Linked DNA regions of Anolis sagrei. The protein of the gene in region 1 purifies or fractionates together with the protein of each later gene. This does not show direct contact. Links are inferred from orthologs where the notes say so. Each region holds a gene or a part of one and is shown in the gene's direction. Other genes may lie near its edges.

Evidence for each region. The genes of interacting proteins can lie anywhere in the genome.
Region 2: the proteins of CNOT1 (region 1) and TOB1 purify together in Homo sapiens (co-immunoprecipitation; 3 studies listed by BioGRID and IntAct, counting the BioPlex papers as one, with this or other methods). This does not show direct contact. The link is inferred for Anolis sagrei from reciprocal best matches to the Homo sapiens genes CNOT1 and TOB1.

What each region holds. Positions count from the first base shown.
Region 1 is NC_090028.1:1,661,141-1,668,986, reverse strand, and holds the start of CNOT1 (CCR4-NOT transcription complex subunit 1), read left to right. Parts: upstream 1-4,839; 5' UTR 4,840-5,000; intron 5,001-7,846.
Region 2 is NC_090022.1:114,706,804-114,714,317, forward strand, and holds the start of TOB1 (protein Tob1), read left to right. Parts: upstream 1-4,500; 5' UTR 4,501-4,667; intron 4,668-7,514. UniProt on the Homo sapiens protein: Anti-proliferative protein; the function is mediated by association with deadenylase subunits of the CCR4-NOT complex. Mediates CPEB3-accelerated mRNA deadenylation by binding to CPEB3 and recruiting CNOT7 which leads to target mRNA deadenylation and decay.

The sequences.
Region 1 (7,846 bases):
TCATATATAAGGTGGATTTATGAAGCTTATAAGCCTGATTTATGAATATATAATATATGTTTGTATATAAGGCGGATTTATGAAGCTTATAAGCCTGATTTACGAATATATACGAATATATCTATATATATAGATATATTCGTATATAAGGCGGATTTATGAAGCCTATAAGCCTGATTTATGAATATATACGTATATATATATGTATATATATATATATATATGTTCGTATATAAGGCGGATTTATGAAGCTTATAAGCCTGATTTACAAATATATACAAATATATATCTATATATATATATTCGTATATAAGGTGGATTTATGAAGCCTATAAGCCTGATTTACGAATATATACAAATATATATCTATATATATATATATTCGTATATAAGGCGGATTTATGAAGCCTAAGCGCCTGATTTACGAATATATAGGAATATATATATGTATATATATATATGTTCATATATAAGGTGGATTTATGAAGCTTATAAGCCTGATTTATGAATATATAATATATGTTTGTATATAAGGCGGATTTATGATGCTTATAAGCCTGATTTACGAATATATACGAATATATATTATATATTCATATATAAGGCGGATTTATGAAGCCTATAAGCCTGATTTATGAAGCCTGTTTTCTAAAGATTTCCAGGAAATTGAATGTTGTGTGTGTATTATATATATATATATATATATATATATATATATACACACACACACGCCACGCCATTGGATATATATATATATATATATATATATATATATGATACACACACACACTTATTTATTTATTTATTTACAAGTTTTGTATACCGACCTTCTCACCTCTCTTGACCGGTTTCCAACCATAATATCACATACAGTCAATAAAACATCAAAATACATATTACAGTAAAACATTAAAAAAGCAATTACATTCAATAACTACAATGGTCAGTCGTCACACTAAAATCGTTGTTCATCATCCTCCATCCATATCTCAGTGTGCTGTCGCACGCTGGGCCTGTGCATTAGACTGTACACAGGACATAAATTCTGTGTGCCCAACGGGACGCCGGGGCTGCCTCAGATTAGAGGCCCTTAGATTCCCCCAAACAGAGTCTTTAGAAGGCTTAAAGTAAGTCCAACAAAGTTCTTTTATTAAGGAACAAACAGGTACTTTAACGGTTTTCTTAACAGTCTATAGGCTCTTTCAATCTTGTTCACTGGGAACAGGCACTATCTTCATAACTGTATACTAACTAATGGGGAAATGCTTAACTTCTAATCTGGGCAGTCTGTACTTGCCTCTGTTGACGTGGAGCCCCTGCACCCGGTACCAACTGCGTCTGGCTTCCGCGAGCGACCCTTGCCTCAACAGAGCTTTGTAGACCTCCAGGGAAAAAGAAGGAGTTCAGGTTGCTGTGATGGCCGGCTGGAGTCCCTCAGCCAAGCTGTGGCTGTATGTCTCCTGGGCAAGCCGTAGGGCTGTATAACCCCGGCCAAGCTGTAAAAGACGAAGCTTTTCTACAGGAGCCACTTCGTTCTATGTCCTGTGCGAAAGGCTTCTCTGTGAGAACTAACTCAAAATGGCTCCTGTTCCCTCCAAAACTCAAAAAGGGGCGGGACCAGGGAACCTAACTATTATTGACAGGTGGCTTGCCCTATGATTGCAGCCAAAAGGAGGCTGTCCAGACCTTGAATCGGTACTTGGCTGCTGTGTCGGACTGGATGAGAGCTAACAAATTGAAATTGAATCCAGACAAGACAGAGGTCCTACTGGTCAATCGTAAGGCCGAACAGGGTATAGGGTTACAGCCTGTGTTAGACGGGGTTACACTCCCCCTGAAGATGCAGGTTCGCAGCTTGGGAGGGATCCTGGACTCATCGCTGAGCCTGGAGCCCCAGGTCTCAGCAGTGGCCGGGAAAACTTTTGCACAATTAAAACTTGTGCACCAGTTGCGCCCGTACCTTGGGAAGTCGGATCTGGCCACAGTGGTCCATGCTCTTGTCACATCCTGACTAGATTACTGCAACGCACTCTATGTGGGGTTGCCTTTGAAGACTGCTCGGAAACTCCAACTAGTCCAACGGGAGGCAGCCAGATTGCTCACCGGAGCGGCGTACAGGGAGCATCCCACCCCCCTGTTGCGTCAGCTCCACTGGCTGCCGATCCAATTCCGAGCACAATTCAAGGTGCTGGTTTTGACCTACAAAACCCTATACGGTTCCGGCCCAGTGTATCTGTCCGAACGGATCTCCCTCTACATCCCACCTCAGAGTTTAAGATCTTCTGGGGAGGCCCTGCTCTCGACCCCACCACTGTCACAAGTGAGATTGGCGGGGACGAGGAGCAGGGCCTTCTCAGTGGTGGCCCCCCACCTGTGGAACTCACTCCCCGGGGAGATCAGATCAGCGACTTCCCTTCTCTCATTCAGGAAAAAGCTGAAAACCTGGATGTGGGACCAGGCTTTTGGAAACTCTGGCAGCTAAAAAGAAAGACCATAATGATGGGCAAATAATGACGAAACCTATTGGACTTATGGAACTCGAAACACTGACCATGAGATTGTTTATTGTTGTGCTATTGTGTTATATATTGATGTTTTTAATCTGTTAATTGCTTAATTATGGTAATCGTTTTATATATGTATGTATTTGGATAAGGGCATCGAATTGTGCCTTCTTTTTGTAAGCCGCCCTGAGTCCCCCCTCGGGGGTGAGAAGGGCGGGGTCTAAGTAGCAGAAATAAATAAATAAATAAATAAAAGAAGCCACCTATCTGCAGGGTCCCTGAAACTTAGGACTGCAATAAACATTAAATGCAAAAGCAAACAGAAATGGAGCTCCTGGCACAGCTGTACCAGCACACTCAGGGTATTGGCTCACTCGTCGAATGCCTGTCTTTCTGAAAGTCAGGATAGACGGGGTGGTTCTGATCTCCGGTGGGAGAGAATTCCAGAGTCGAGGGGCCACCACCGAGAAGCTTGCCATCTATCGGACAGGTGGCAAGCTATTCAACCTCAGCAGACTGAAAGCCAAAACCAAGGTTACAACAACAGCTGTTATAGAACTCCAGTATGCTGATGACAATGTCGTCTGTGCGCATTCAGAAGAAGATCTACAAGCCACTCTAAACACCTTCGCAGAAGCATACGAGAAGCTCGGCCTGTCACTGAACATTGAGAAAACCAAGGTGCTGTTCTAGCAGTCACCAGCCAACCCCTCTCCAATGCCAGAGATACAGCTTAATGGTGTAACATTAGAAAATGTGGACCATTTCCGCTCCCTTGGCAGCCACCTCTCCACCAAAGTCAACATCGACGCTGAAATACAACACCGCCTGAGCTCTGCGAGTGCAGCATTTTCCCGAATGAAGCAGAGAGTGTTTGAGGACCGGGACATCCGTAGGGATACTAAGGTGCTTGTCTATAAAGCTATTGTCCTCCCAACCCTGCTCTATGCCTGTGAGACGTGGACTGTCTACAGACGTCACATGCAGCTCCTGGAACGTTTCCATCAGCGCTGCCTCCGGAAAATCCTGCAAATCTCCTGGGAAGACAAGCGGACAAACGTCAGCGTGCTGGAAGAAGCAAAGACCACCAGCATTGAAGCGATGGTCCTCCGCCATCAACTCCGCTGGACCGGCCACGTTGTCTGGATGCCCGACCACCGTCTCCCAAAGCAGTTGCTCTACTCCGAACTCAAGAACTGAAAACGGGATGTTGGTGGACAGGAAAAGAGATTGAAAGATGGGCTCAAAGCCAACCTTAAAAACTCTGGCATAGACACTGAGAATTGGGAAGCCCTGGCCCTTGAGCGCTCCAGCTGGAGGTCAGCTGTGACCAGCAGTGCTGCAGAATTTGAGGAGGCACAACTGGAGGGTGAGAGAGAGAAACGTGCCAGGAGGAAAGCGCGTCAAGCCAACCTCGACCGGGACCGCCTTCCACCTGGAACCCAATGCCCTCCTCACTGCGGAAGAAGATGCAGAGCAAGAATAGGGCTCCACAGCCACATACGGACCCACAAGGAAACCCATGATGGAAGACCATCTTACTCGTCCAACGAGGGATCGCCTAAGTAAGTAAGTAAGTAAGTACCGAGAAGGCCCTGTCCCTCGTCCCCACCAGACGCGCTTGCGAGGCAGGTGGGACCAAGAGCAGGGCCTCTCCAGATGATCTTAATAATCTTGATGGTTCATAGGGGAGAATAGGTTTGGAGAGGTAAATAGGGCTGGGTATATATGGTATATATATATATATATATGGATAAATCAGGTGCATATTTATCCAACTAGCTCAAGAGGCCTTCCTTGGTGGCAGAAAAGTTATATTAATACATTACAATATTGCTATTATTACCCTTGACCCAAAATCAACAAGGAATGGCTCAGATCTAGAGTGATTCCCAAGCCTTTGGCCTCTAATTGTTTTGGACTACGATTCCCAGAATTCCTGCCCATTGATCTAACGCAGCTGAGGCTTCTGGGAGTTGGAGTCCGAAAGAGCCAAAGTTGTGCCCCATTCATTGAGGCGAAAGGACGGACTGGTGTTTTCCTCTGCTCCCGCCTCGAGACAACCGCGCTGTCATCCCATTGGCCGGATTCACAAACTCCCTCAGAGCCCTGCCTTCCGATTGGGCAGCGAGGACGTGAAGCAACCAATCCGAACCGGGAGGCGGGTTCTTTCCACCTTTTCCCCGCCTCCTCAGCGCTGAGGGCAAAAAAATAAAAGTGCTTTCCCTCAATGTCGGTCCGTGATTGGATGCCATCCGGAAGGCGGGGCTTAAGGAGCGCGAGGCCATTGGATCCCGCCGGTGGAGGCTCCTCCCCGTTGCCTCTTCCCGCCGCGGGGCAGGACGGGAAGAGAAAGGGCCGCGACGTGAGCGCGCGACTCCGGCCGCCATTTTGTTTCGGAGCGAGCGGAGAAGGAAGGAAGGAAGGAAGGGAGAGCGGCTCAGGAGACCGAGGAAGCGAGGGAAGGCAAAGAAGGCAGGCCCCGGCACGCTCGAGGTAAGCCCGGCCTCAGGGAGCGCCTCCCCCGCCTTCTGGAGGTACCACAGCCCGGTCTGGGAGTCAATCGAGGCCCCGGCGGGAGTGCAGGCCCAGGCCTCGCTCGCGGAAGCGCCTCCCGGGCGGGTTATTCGCCCTCCAGGGGGGTTGGACTACAACTCCCACCATTCCTAACAGCCGGTAGGCTGTTAGGAATGGTGGGAGTTGGAGTCCAAACCCCCCTGGAGGGCCCAAGTTGGAAGGGAAGGGAACAGGTCCCGAATTACGAACCAGGACGGCCCAGTAAGTGTTGGGATCTCGTATACAGGGGCATTTCTTCAGAACAGCTACAAATATCCATATCTATCTATCTCCATCTGTATGTGTGCCTGTATATTTATGTATATATACATATATCTATGTATATTCATATGTGTGTCAGGACAGCTCCAGCAACAAATACCCATATCTATCTCCATATGTATGTGTGTCTGTATATTTATGTATGTATATATATCCATATGCCTGGGTGTATCCATATGTCTGTATATATCCATGTATATATGTGTGTGTGTCTGTATATTTATGAATATATACATATATGTATATATATTCATATGTGCCTGTGTGTATCCACATGTCTGTATATATCTGTGTATATATGTGTGTGTGTGTCTGTATATTTATATATACATATATATATATATATATATATATTCATATGTGTGTGTGTATCCATATGCCTGTGTTTATCCATATGTCTATATATCCATGTATATATGTGTGTGTCTGTATATTTATGTATATACGTATATATATTCATATGTGTGTATGTATATCCATATGCCTGTGTGTATCCATATGTCTGTATATATCCGTGTATATATGTGTGTGTGTCTATATGTGTATATATATATGTGTGTATGTATATATATATACACACACACACATGCACACATGTATGTGTGTCTGTATATTTATGTATATATACATATATGTATATTCATGTGTGTGTGTTTATCCATATGCCTGGGTGTATCCATATGTCTGTATATATCCATGTATATATATGCGTGTGTGTATGTATGTATGTGTGTATGTATGTTTATGTATATATACATATATGTATATTCATGTGTGTGTGTGTTTATCCATATGCCTGTGTGTATCCATATGTCTGTATATATCCATGTACGTGTGTGTGTGTGTATGTATATATACACACATATGTATGTGTGTCTGTATATTTATGTATATATACATATATGTATATTCATGTGTGTGTGTGTATATCCATATGCCTGTGTGTATCCATATGTCTGCATATATCCATGTATATGTGTGTGTGTACACACACACACACACACACACACACACATAAACATGGATATACACATATACAGAGTCCACCTGGGGAGATAGGGTGGGTTACAAATAAAGTTGATGTCCAATATATACACAATCCTATAATCATAATAATAAAACTTTATTTATACCCCCATACCTATCTGTCTATCTATCTCCATATGTATGTGTGTCTGTATATATGTGTGTATATTTACGTATATATACATATATTCATATGTGTGTGTGTATATCCATATGCCTGTGTGTATCCATGTTTGTATATATCCATTTACGTGTGGGTGTATGTATGTATATATTATACACACACCAGTTGTACCCGCCACGCGTTGCTGTGGCCAACCTTCCCTCTTTCTCTCCTTCTTTCCCTCCTTCCTTCTCTCCCTCTTTCTTTCCTTCTCTTCTTCCTTCTCTACCTTTTTCATTCCTTTCCCCCTTTTCTTTCTCTTCTGCTGTCACTCTTTTCTTCCTTCTCTCCTTCTCTCCTTCTCTCCTTCTTTCTCTACATCTTCCCCCTTCCTTCCTTCCTTCCCTCTTTCCCTTTTTTCTTTCCTTCTCTCCTTCCTTCCTTCTCTAACTTCCCTTCCTTCCCCCTTTTTCTTTCCCTCCCTCTTTCTCTTCTTCCTTCCTTCACTCCCACTTTCCTTCCTTCCTGCCTGCTTCTCCTTCTCTTCTTCCTTCCTTCTCTATCTCTCTTTCCTTCCCCATTTTTCTTTATCTTCTGTCTCTCTTTTCTTCCTTCTCTCTTTCCTTCTTTCCTTCCCTCCTTCTTTATTATTAATATGTTGTATTACATTATAATATTATCAATATTATATGTATATCCAATATATTGTATTGTATATTATACGCACAGTGCAGGAGGCAAGATGGAACTGCCTTCATGGCCCCTCTCTTCATTCTGATCTCAGAGCAGCAGTTGGTCCAATATATATCCATCCATATATTTTTAACATTCATATATACATATATATATCCATATGTGTATATATACCAATATATATATCCCTATATGCCCATACACATATATCCTTCCATATATATTTATCTCAATGTTTGTGTGTGTGTATCTCTCTCTCTCTCTCTGGATAGCATAGGGAAGTGTGGACACCCCTGTGGTGTTTCCTTTGTTGTCTCTGCCCCTGTTTGGAAGATTTCACCGCATTTTCTGTCTATGTGAGAATTGGATTTTGGAAACTCTGGCTTGTTTTGGAGACAGGATTGGGGATAAAGCTTCAGGAGGAGGAAGCAAGCTTGTTTTCTCCTTCCCTGGAGACTAGGACATGGAACAATGGCTTCAAACTACAAGAAAAGAGATTCCATCTGAACATTAGGAAGAACTTCCTGACTGTGAGAGCCGTTCAGCAGTGGAACTCTCTGCCCCGGAGTGCGGTGGAGGCTCCTTCTTTGGAAGCATTTAAACAGAGGCTGGATGGCCATCTGTCAGGGGTACTTTAAATACAGGGGGTTTATTTATTATTTACTTTATTTCTATACCACTT
Region 2 (7,514 bases), on another chromosome or scaffold:
GACAAACCACCTCTGTCTTGGAAACTCTGTGGTTGGTTTATCTTAGGATCACCATAAGTCAGAAACGACTTGGAGACACACAATAATGACAGCAACAACCACAAGCTCATCAGCTGACTTTAGTCACTGTGAATAATAAACATACAAACTCCCACTGAATAATAAACATACACAGAACTTAATAAAATAGTTTTCTTTGGCTGAATGAATGACATTACTGCCCTTTTCAGTCTTTTCCCACAATTATTTGATAATAAAATCCTTGGAGCAAGGGCCCTTCAAAAATTTTTGTTTGTTTTAAAACACTATTTAGTATGTTTTGTGTGTGTGTGTGTGTCAGGAGCAACTTGAGAAACTGCAAGTCACTTGTGCTGCAAGTCCCTTCTAGTGTGCTTTGAAGGGACTCGCTGGCATGAGCCTCCCTCCAGCCTCACATGCTCTCCCTCACCTGCAGATGCGCATCACGCTGCCATGCACTGAACACACCTGTTCTCCCCTACACACTTGGAGTCTCAGAAACTGCCCTCCCTTTGGCTGAGAGGCTGGCCAATTACAGCAGGAGGAGGGAGGAGGATTCACCATCTGTTTCCAAAAAGGAAAAGGACAGGCGGAGAGATCTTCAGCCTTCTCTGCCAAAAGGGTTCCTAAGACCATCAGAAATATATGTTTCTGAGGAACTTTGGTGACCCCCCCCCCCCAGCTTAAGAGGGCCCCTTGGTGGCACAGTGGGCTGAACCGCCGAGCTGCTGAACTTACTGACCGAAAGGTTAGTGGTTCGAATCCAGGGTTCAGGGTGAGCTCCATTAGCCCTAACTTCTGTCAACTTAGCAATTTGAAAACATACAAATGTGAGTAGATCAATAGGTACTGCTTCTGTGGGAAGGTAACAGCACCCCGTGCGGTCATGCACGCCACATGACCTAGAAGGTGTCTATGGACAATGCTGGCTCTCCGGCTTAGAAATGGAGATGAGTACCACCCCTCAGAGTTGAACAACCTTTCGGTCAGCAAATTCAGCAGCTCAGCAGTTTAATCTGCTGCACAACCAGGGGGTCCCTGCCACATATTAGTCTGAAATCTTTTGAAGGGTGGTCCGCCACCCCTACCCTCTTCTTTTCTGTGTTCTCTCATGTTTTGCCTATATCCTGCAATCTGAAACTGACCCTACCACCAAAAAAGGGCAAAGTATTCCTCCAGAATACTGAGTAGCCAATTGAGTGGGGCCTAGGAAGCCAATCATGTGTTGTTTCTACCTATGCATGTATCTGAATAATCTAGATATGCACACACACACACACACACACATATTTCTATACTACCAAATGATATATAGCATATTTTCTATAGAGAAAATATATACAGTAGGAGGTACATAATTCTCGGGTGGGAGACAGCAGGGGAAACCATGTGCTGTAGGCTGTGTTTGAGAGGAAGGAACTGAGGATTGTGCTCATAAGGGTTGCCATAAATGGACAGGAGACCTGAAGGTGGCACATTAATATACACAGGGTCGATGTATATCGGGGAATTAACGCAGTTTTGACCCTATCCTTGAACCGCTATGGAATCCTGGGAGTTTTAGAAGCCTTTTCTGCAAAGAGGGTTGGGGCTTCCTCAAACTACAACTCCCAGGTTCCCACCAAGGCATCCAGCCTTGGCAGTTCAAATGAGGTCAGACTGCACTGACTCCACAGGACTTCTTCCTTCACTCCTCCTGCAGCCAGCTGGAAAGCGTGCGCGCTCCCGTCAAGAAGAGGGAGGCACGGGCACGCGCGCAAGGCAATGACGTTTCGCGTTCCCTTCTTCCCCCCCCCCCCTCCTCCTCCTCCTCCTTCCCTCCCTCCCTGTTTTTTGCCCTCCTCCCACCTTCTATTGGCTCCGCCCTCGTGAAACACCAGACGCAGGTTGGAGAGCTTTTTAAGATTGACAGATTTGGGGAGCCAATGGCGGAGGGGGGCGGGGCGAACTGATAACTCTGGGGTATTACTCAGAGCCTCTCCCCCCTTCCCCCTAGTGCCCTCCCCATTAGTCTCCTTGTGTAGTAGGAGAAAAAATAATAATAAGCTGGATCTCAATAATAACAACTGTGCTTGTTTCCTTTCCTACCAGACATGTTGTTGTTGTTGATGTTGTTGTATTATTATTATTATTATTAGACACAGCAGGTGATTTTCCCTTCAAACCCAAAACAAGGGGGCACCGATCCTCTCCTCCTTCAAAAGAATAGAGACAACACCAGAAGGGGAGTCCATTTGGTGGAGGAGGAGCAAGATTCCTCAGAGAGAGAGAGAGAGGGAGGGAGGATCACAGGAACGCAGAGCATCCAACACAACAAATAGGCAACTTCTCTTTGGCAACTCCTCAGTGCTACCGTGCTCTTGTTCATTGGCCTTGGATTGGTTGCCCAGTGCAGTTTTGTTCTACTCCTGCAGCAAGGCAAAACGCAAGGAGTACCAAGATATTATACACTATGTCTTGTAGTAAGTTTGTTGTGCTTGGCTTCCCTCCTCCTCCTCCTCCTCCTCGGGGAAATGCTCCCCACCCTCGTGACAGCGGGGAGGGATCCGAGAGTGGCTGAGAGGCAGGGCAGGCTTCTTTTTTCCGTGAGAAACTGCAAGTCGCTTCTGGTGTGAGAGAATTGGCCGTCTGCAAGGATGTTGCCCAGGGGAGCCCCGGAGGTTTTGAGGTTTTACCATCCTTGTGGGAGGCTTTTCTCACGTCCCTGCATGGGGAGCTGGAGCTGACAGAGGGAGCTCACCCGTGCTCTCCCCAGATTCGAACTTGTGAGCTGTCCGTCTTCAGTCCTGCCAGCACAAGGGTTTAACCCACTGCGCCACTGTAGGGCGGGCTACTACACGTAGGGAGGGAGGAAGAGGCGCCATAGGTCGCTGGTCACTCCTTGGCTCACTCCTATGGAATCCTGGGAGTTGTAGTTTGGGGAGCCTCTTGGTTGCCTTCAAAGGGTTCTTGAATCCGTGGGTACATAGTGGTCGGTGCTCTTTAGTTTTTACTGTTTGGTCTCCCAGAACAACAACTCACTCTTAATGATCCGCTGTGCGACTGGGGATAATGGAAACCGCAGTCCAAACAGCACTGGTGGGCTCTGAGGTTGGGGAAAAGGTTCAAGGACATTTTAAGGTCAGGCCTCATATCCGCAAGCCTTGTGTCTCAATTCAGACCCCTCTCTCCTGACTAAATAATAAATTGCAGCCTTCCAGATTATACTGTATCACAACTCCCATCACACGGTGACTAGTGCTGATGGGAATTGTGATACAGTATCATCTGGAAGGCTGCAATTTATTATTTAGTCAGTACTCGGAGAGTCACGTAAAATGACATTTTTATGTGTGTCAGGAGTGACTTGAGAAACTTCCAAGTCGCTTCTGGTGTGAGAGAATTGGCAGTCTACAAGGAGGTTGCCCAGGGGGCCGGATGTTTTGATGTTTTACCCTCCTTGCGGGAGAGGCTTCTCTTGTGTCCCCGTATGGGGAGCTGGAGCTGGCAGAGGGAGCTCAACCCGCTCCCCTCAGATTCGAACCGTGGACGGTCAGTAATCCTGCCTTTTAACCCACTGCGCCACCGGGGCCTCCAAATGTCATGGTGGGCGGCATTCGGCCAAGGGGCCTTGACACATGAGGATATAATACAAGAAGCAGGAAATGCCTTCCAGGCTGCCCTCCTGTCTCCGTCCTTTGGCTGCAGAAAGGGGTGGGGCATAACGTGAGCAAGCACTCCCCTCCGCCTGAGCGCCTCTCTGCTGACAGGATTCCGAATCACTCCCCCCGATGACGTAGTAGAGCAGAGAGCATTCTGGGAGACGTAGTCTTCACGCGGTGAGGGAGAAGGGAGTGGAGGGAGGGGCGTGGTTCCTGGAATGACGTAGGGGTTGACGTCACCGAAAGCCCCTTAGCAGCAGGGGGTGGGGTGGGGGGATGTCGAGAAGGGCTAATGCTCCCTGGCGCCGGGCGTGAAGGGGAGCCGGCGGCGGGGGGGAGCAATATGGCGACGGAAGGGGGTTGCGAGGAGACCCAGGAAATATGTGCTCTGAGGGAGCAGTCTTAGCAGCAGAGATTCAGGGCACGGCTTAAGCCAGCTGTCCCTTATAAACGGGCGGGGCCATGGTGGACACAGTAGGCGTTTTCCCCATTCCTTTTTCAGAAAGTACGCAAGCAGCTCCTAGGGAGGGAGGAGGAAGGAAGGCCTCAGCATTTTGTCCTTTGCGCCTTGAAAGAGCACCACACGAACCCCCTGGAAGCAGGAGGATGAAGAAAGGGAAGGGGGGGGGCTCGGTGGGAGGGGCTCGGAGCAGGTGCGCGAGGGGGGGACGCGGGGGAGGCGGGGAATGAGTCTTATTGGCAGGATAGAGAGGCCAATGGGGAGCAGGGACTAGGACAGGGGCCGAACGATTGGCAGGCGAGTGGGTGGGGCTGACGAGGCCTAGGGGCGGGGCCCGGAGGGGGCGGGGCGTGAGAGGGCATATATAGGGGCGCGGCGGAGGCTCGGGCGCTACAAGAAGGCGTCTCACAGCTGCTGAGGCGGAGCGCGCTGTCTCTGGTCCCGGGGCGTGAGAAGCGCAGTCGACCCCTTTTTTCTCCACCCCGGCTCGCTGGGTTATGGGGTTCCGACGCTGAGCCTCCCTCTCCTTTGCACTATATAGGCCCCGGGTGAGTGTCGCGAGAGAGAGAGGGAGAAGGGGGGGGCGGCCTGGAGATGGGGATGATGGAGGCGGCTTACCTCACCCTTTCCCCTTCTTGGGCTCCCCTCAGACTCACACAGCGGGCGAGGGTTCGAATTGAGTGAGGGGCGGGGGTGGGGGAAGGAAGGGAGCGGGGAGGCCTCGCCTGTGGGTGTCGGCCGAAGGATTTGACAGGACGGGGCTGCCTGAGGGTGTTGACACGGCCCTGCGAGGGGAGGGGGGAATTGGAGGAGGAGGGGGGACTGGTAGAACGGGAGGGAATGGAGGCGGGGAAACCTCTCTCTCTGTGTGTGTGTGTGTGTGTGGAGGCGACGTCGTGGGCCCAAGGCTTTCCTCTCACGGCAGGGAAAGGCGATCTCTGGGCCGGACCCGCTCGCGCCTCTCCCCCTCCCATAGAACTCCTCGGAGGGAGGGATGGAGGGGGAAAAGGGGGCGGGGCTGCTCCAGGGGCCTCGCGCAGCCCCTCCCCCGGAGGAGGAGGAGGAGGAGGGCGGCCACTTGGATGGCGGAGGGAGGGAGGGAGGGGCGGCGGAGGAGCCTGTCAGGGAGGCGAGTTGGCCAAGGAGGAAAGGAGGAGGGGGGGGGATGGGTGGCCACAGCCCCACGGAGGACAGAGAGGGAGGGCTTAACTGGTGAGCTGGTGGATTGACAAGATGGGGAAGACGCCTCCAAAGGTGGGGATGTCTAGCTAGCCCTGAGAGGAAGGGGCACTGCCTCTCAAAGCCCCCCTCTCTTCTGAGAAACTGAGAAAGGATTTTGAAAGAAGGGGGGCGAATAAGGTAAACACAGCGTCCCTGATCTAGGGAGGTAAACACTGCTCCTCTTGTGCCGAAGGCGATCTAGGGGGAGGCCTCAGCCTTCAGGAGAGGGGAGGATTGGGCCTGATTTCTGAGGAGAAAGAGAGGGATGCCCTCCTAGACAGGCCTCTTTTTCTTTTTCCCCTGAAGCTGAGCAGCACTAGTGGGATTCATTATCTAATGCAGAGGTTTTCAACCTGTGGGTCCCCAGATGTTTTGGCCTTCAACTCCCAGAAATCCTAACAGCTGGTAAACTGGCTGGGATTTGTGGGAGTTGTAGGCCAAAACGCCTGGGGACCCACAGGTTGAGAACCACTGATCTAGTGTGATGAGGTAGACAATAACAACAATTCTTTATTGATTAGTCAATTAGTCAATGGGTAGACTCTCCCCATCACACTAGAGCAGGCATGAGCAAACTTGGGCCCTCCGGGTGTTTTGGACTTCAACTCCCACAATTCCTAACAGCTGGTAGGCTGTTAGCAATTGTGGGAGTTGAAGTCCAAAACACCCGGAGGGCCCAAGTTTGCCCATGCCTGCACTAGAGAATGGATCCACTTTAAATCTGGTTTCTTCCTCCTGCAGAATTATTTAGATATGAGCCTTTAACAGCCTCACTAAACTACAAACCCCAGAATTCTGCTGGAGGCCGAAACCGGATTTAAAGTGGATTCTTTCTCTCGTGTGATGAAATAATCCGGATTGGGCCTGGTTCGGGAGGTGGAAGAGGAGAGAGAGGCCCTCCTAGACATGCCCCTTTTCTCTTTCCCCTGAAGCTGTGAGCAGCACTCTAATGAGACCCAACAGCCCGGTTATGTAACACTGTGGACTCTGCTTGAGGTCCCTCCTCGTTTCCCTGGCCCCCCTCGCTGCGTCACCACTGCCATGATTAATGCAATTAACAGGTTTAATTCCTTAAAAAGGGGGGCCTTGCTCAGTGTGGGAAATATTTTGACATGTTTAAGATTATTTTGTTTTGTGACCTTTTTCCACACTAGGGAAGGGAAAGAGTAAGGGTGACAATAATAACTTCCAGCATCTTTGAAAGGTATTATTTTTACTTGCATTGCTGGAGAGGTCAAACAGATGGATTAATAAATGATTTTTGTAGTTACCTATAGCTCCCCCAATCAGATCATCTGTACATATGTGTTCCATTTGTAAATACCTTTGTTTGCCCTTGATCTTTCCTTATCCCCACCCAGTGCTGATCCAGCAATCATTTAAAGGTCGTCTTATCGCACAGCTGGTAGTTCTCTTACCCAGTAAAGAGAGGAAATGAAAAGAGAAAAGGTTTTAGAAGCAGGGATAGCCTTGGAAAGCCAACCATTTGAGACAAGGAAATAATTTCCACTCACTTTATTGTGTCCTTGCTTACAGGTTTATAAATTTATTTAGATTTAAGTCTGTTTTATTTCTACAGAAGGACTGTTTGAAACCATAGTAAATGGGAGAAAATATAACTTGATGTTCAAAAAAGAAGAAAGCTCATATTTTGAGCCTTGTATTCTGTATAATATACTTCAGTGGCCATTATTCTTTGTCAATTTAGCTTTTTTATTTTATATTAACATTCTAGAGGAATTGGTTTAATGTTAATATCACTGAAATCAAAAGCTCTCATTTGTAATAATTGTATATGACTGATTTCCCTTTTAAATTATTCAGTACACTGATGCATTTACCATATTTTTCTCCTAAAGAATCTGTATTAGATTATTTTAATGGTTGTGTGGTTAGAATGTATTGTTTGTTGGATTATTTCCAGTGGAGTTTGGTGTTATGTATGCACATTGTGAAAATAATTCTGGGATATGTAGATTTATTATAGCTCCCCACTTTGGAAACAAAATGCAGGAATACTGGTATTTGCCTTTTCAAATTGGAGCAGTTTTAAAATTCTGCGAATACTGGCAATATCTGGCATTAGAAAGTTACACAAGTAAATGCTTTGAAAAATCTAAAAGATTTGAAAATAAATGTCACAACTGGGTTCTCTAAATCACCAAAAATAGGAT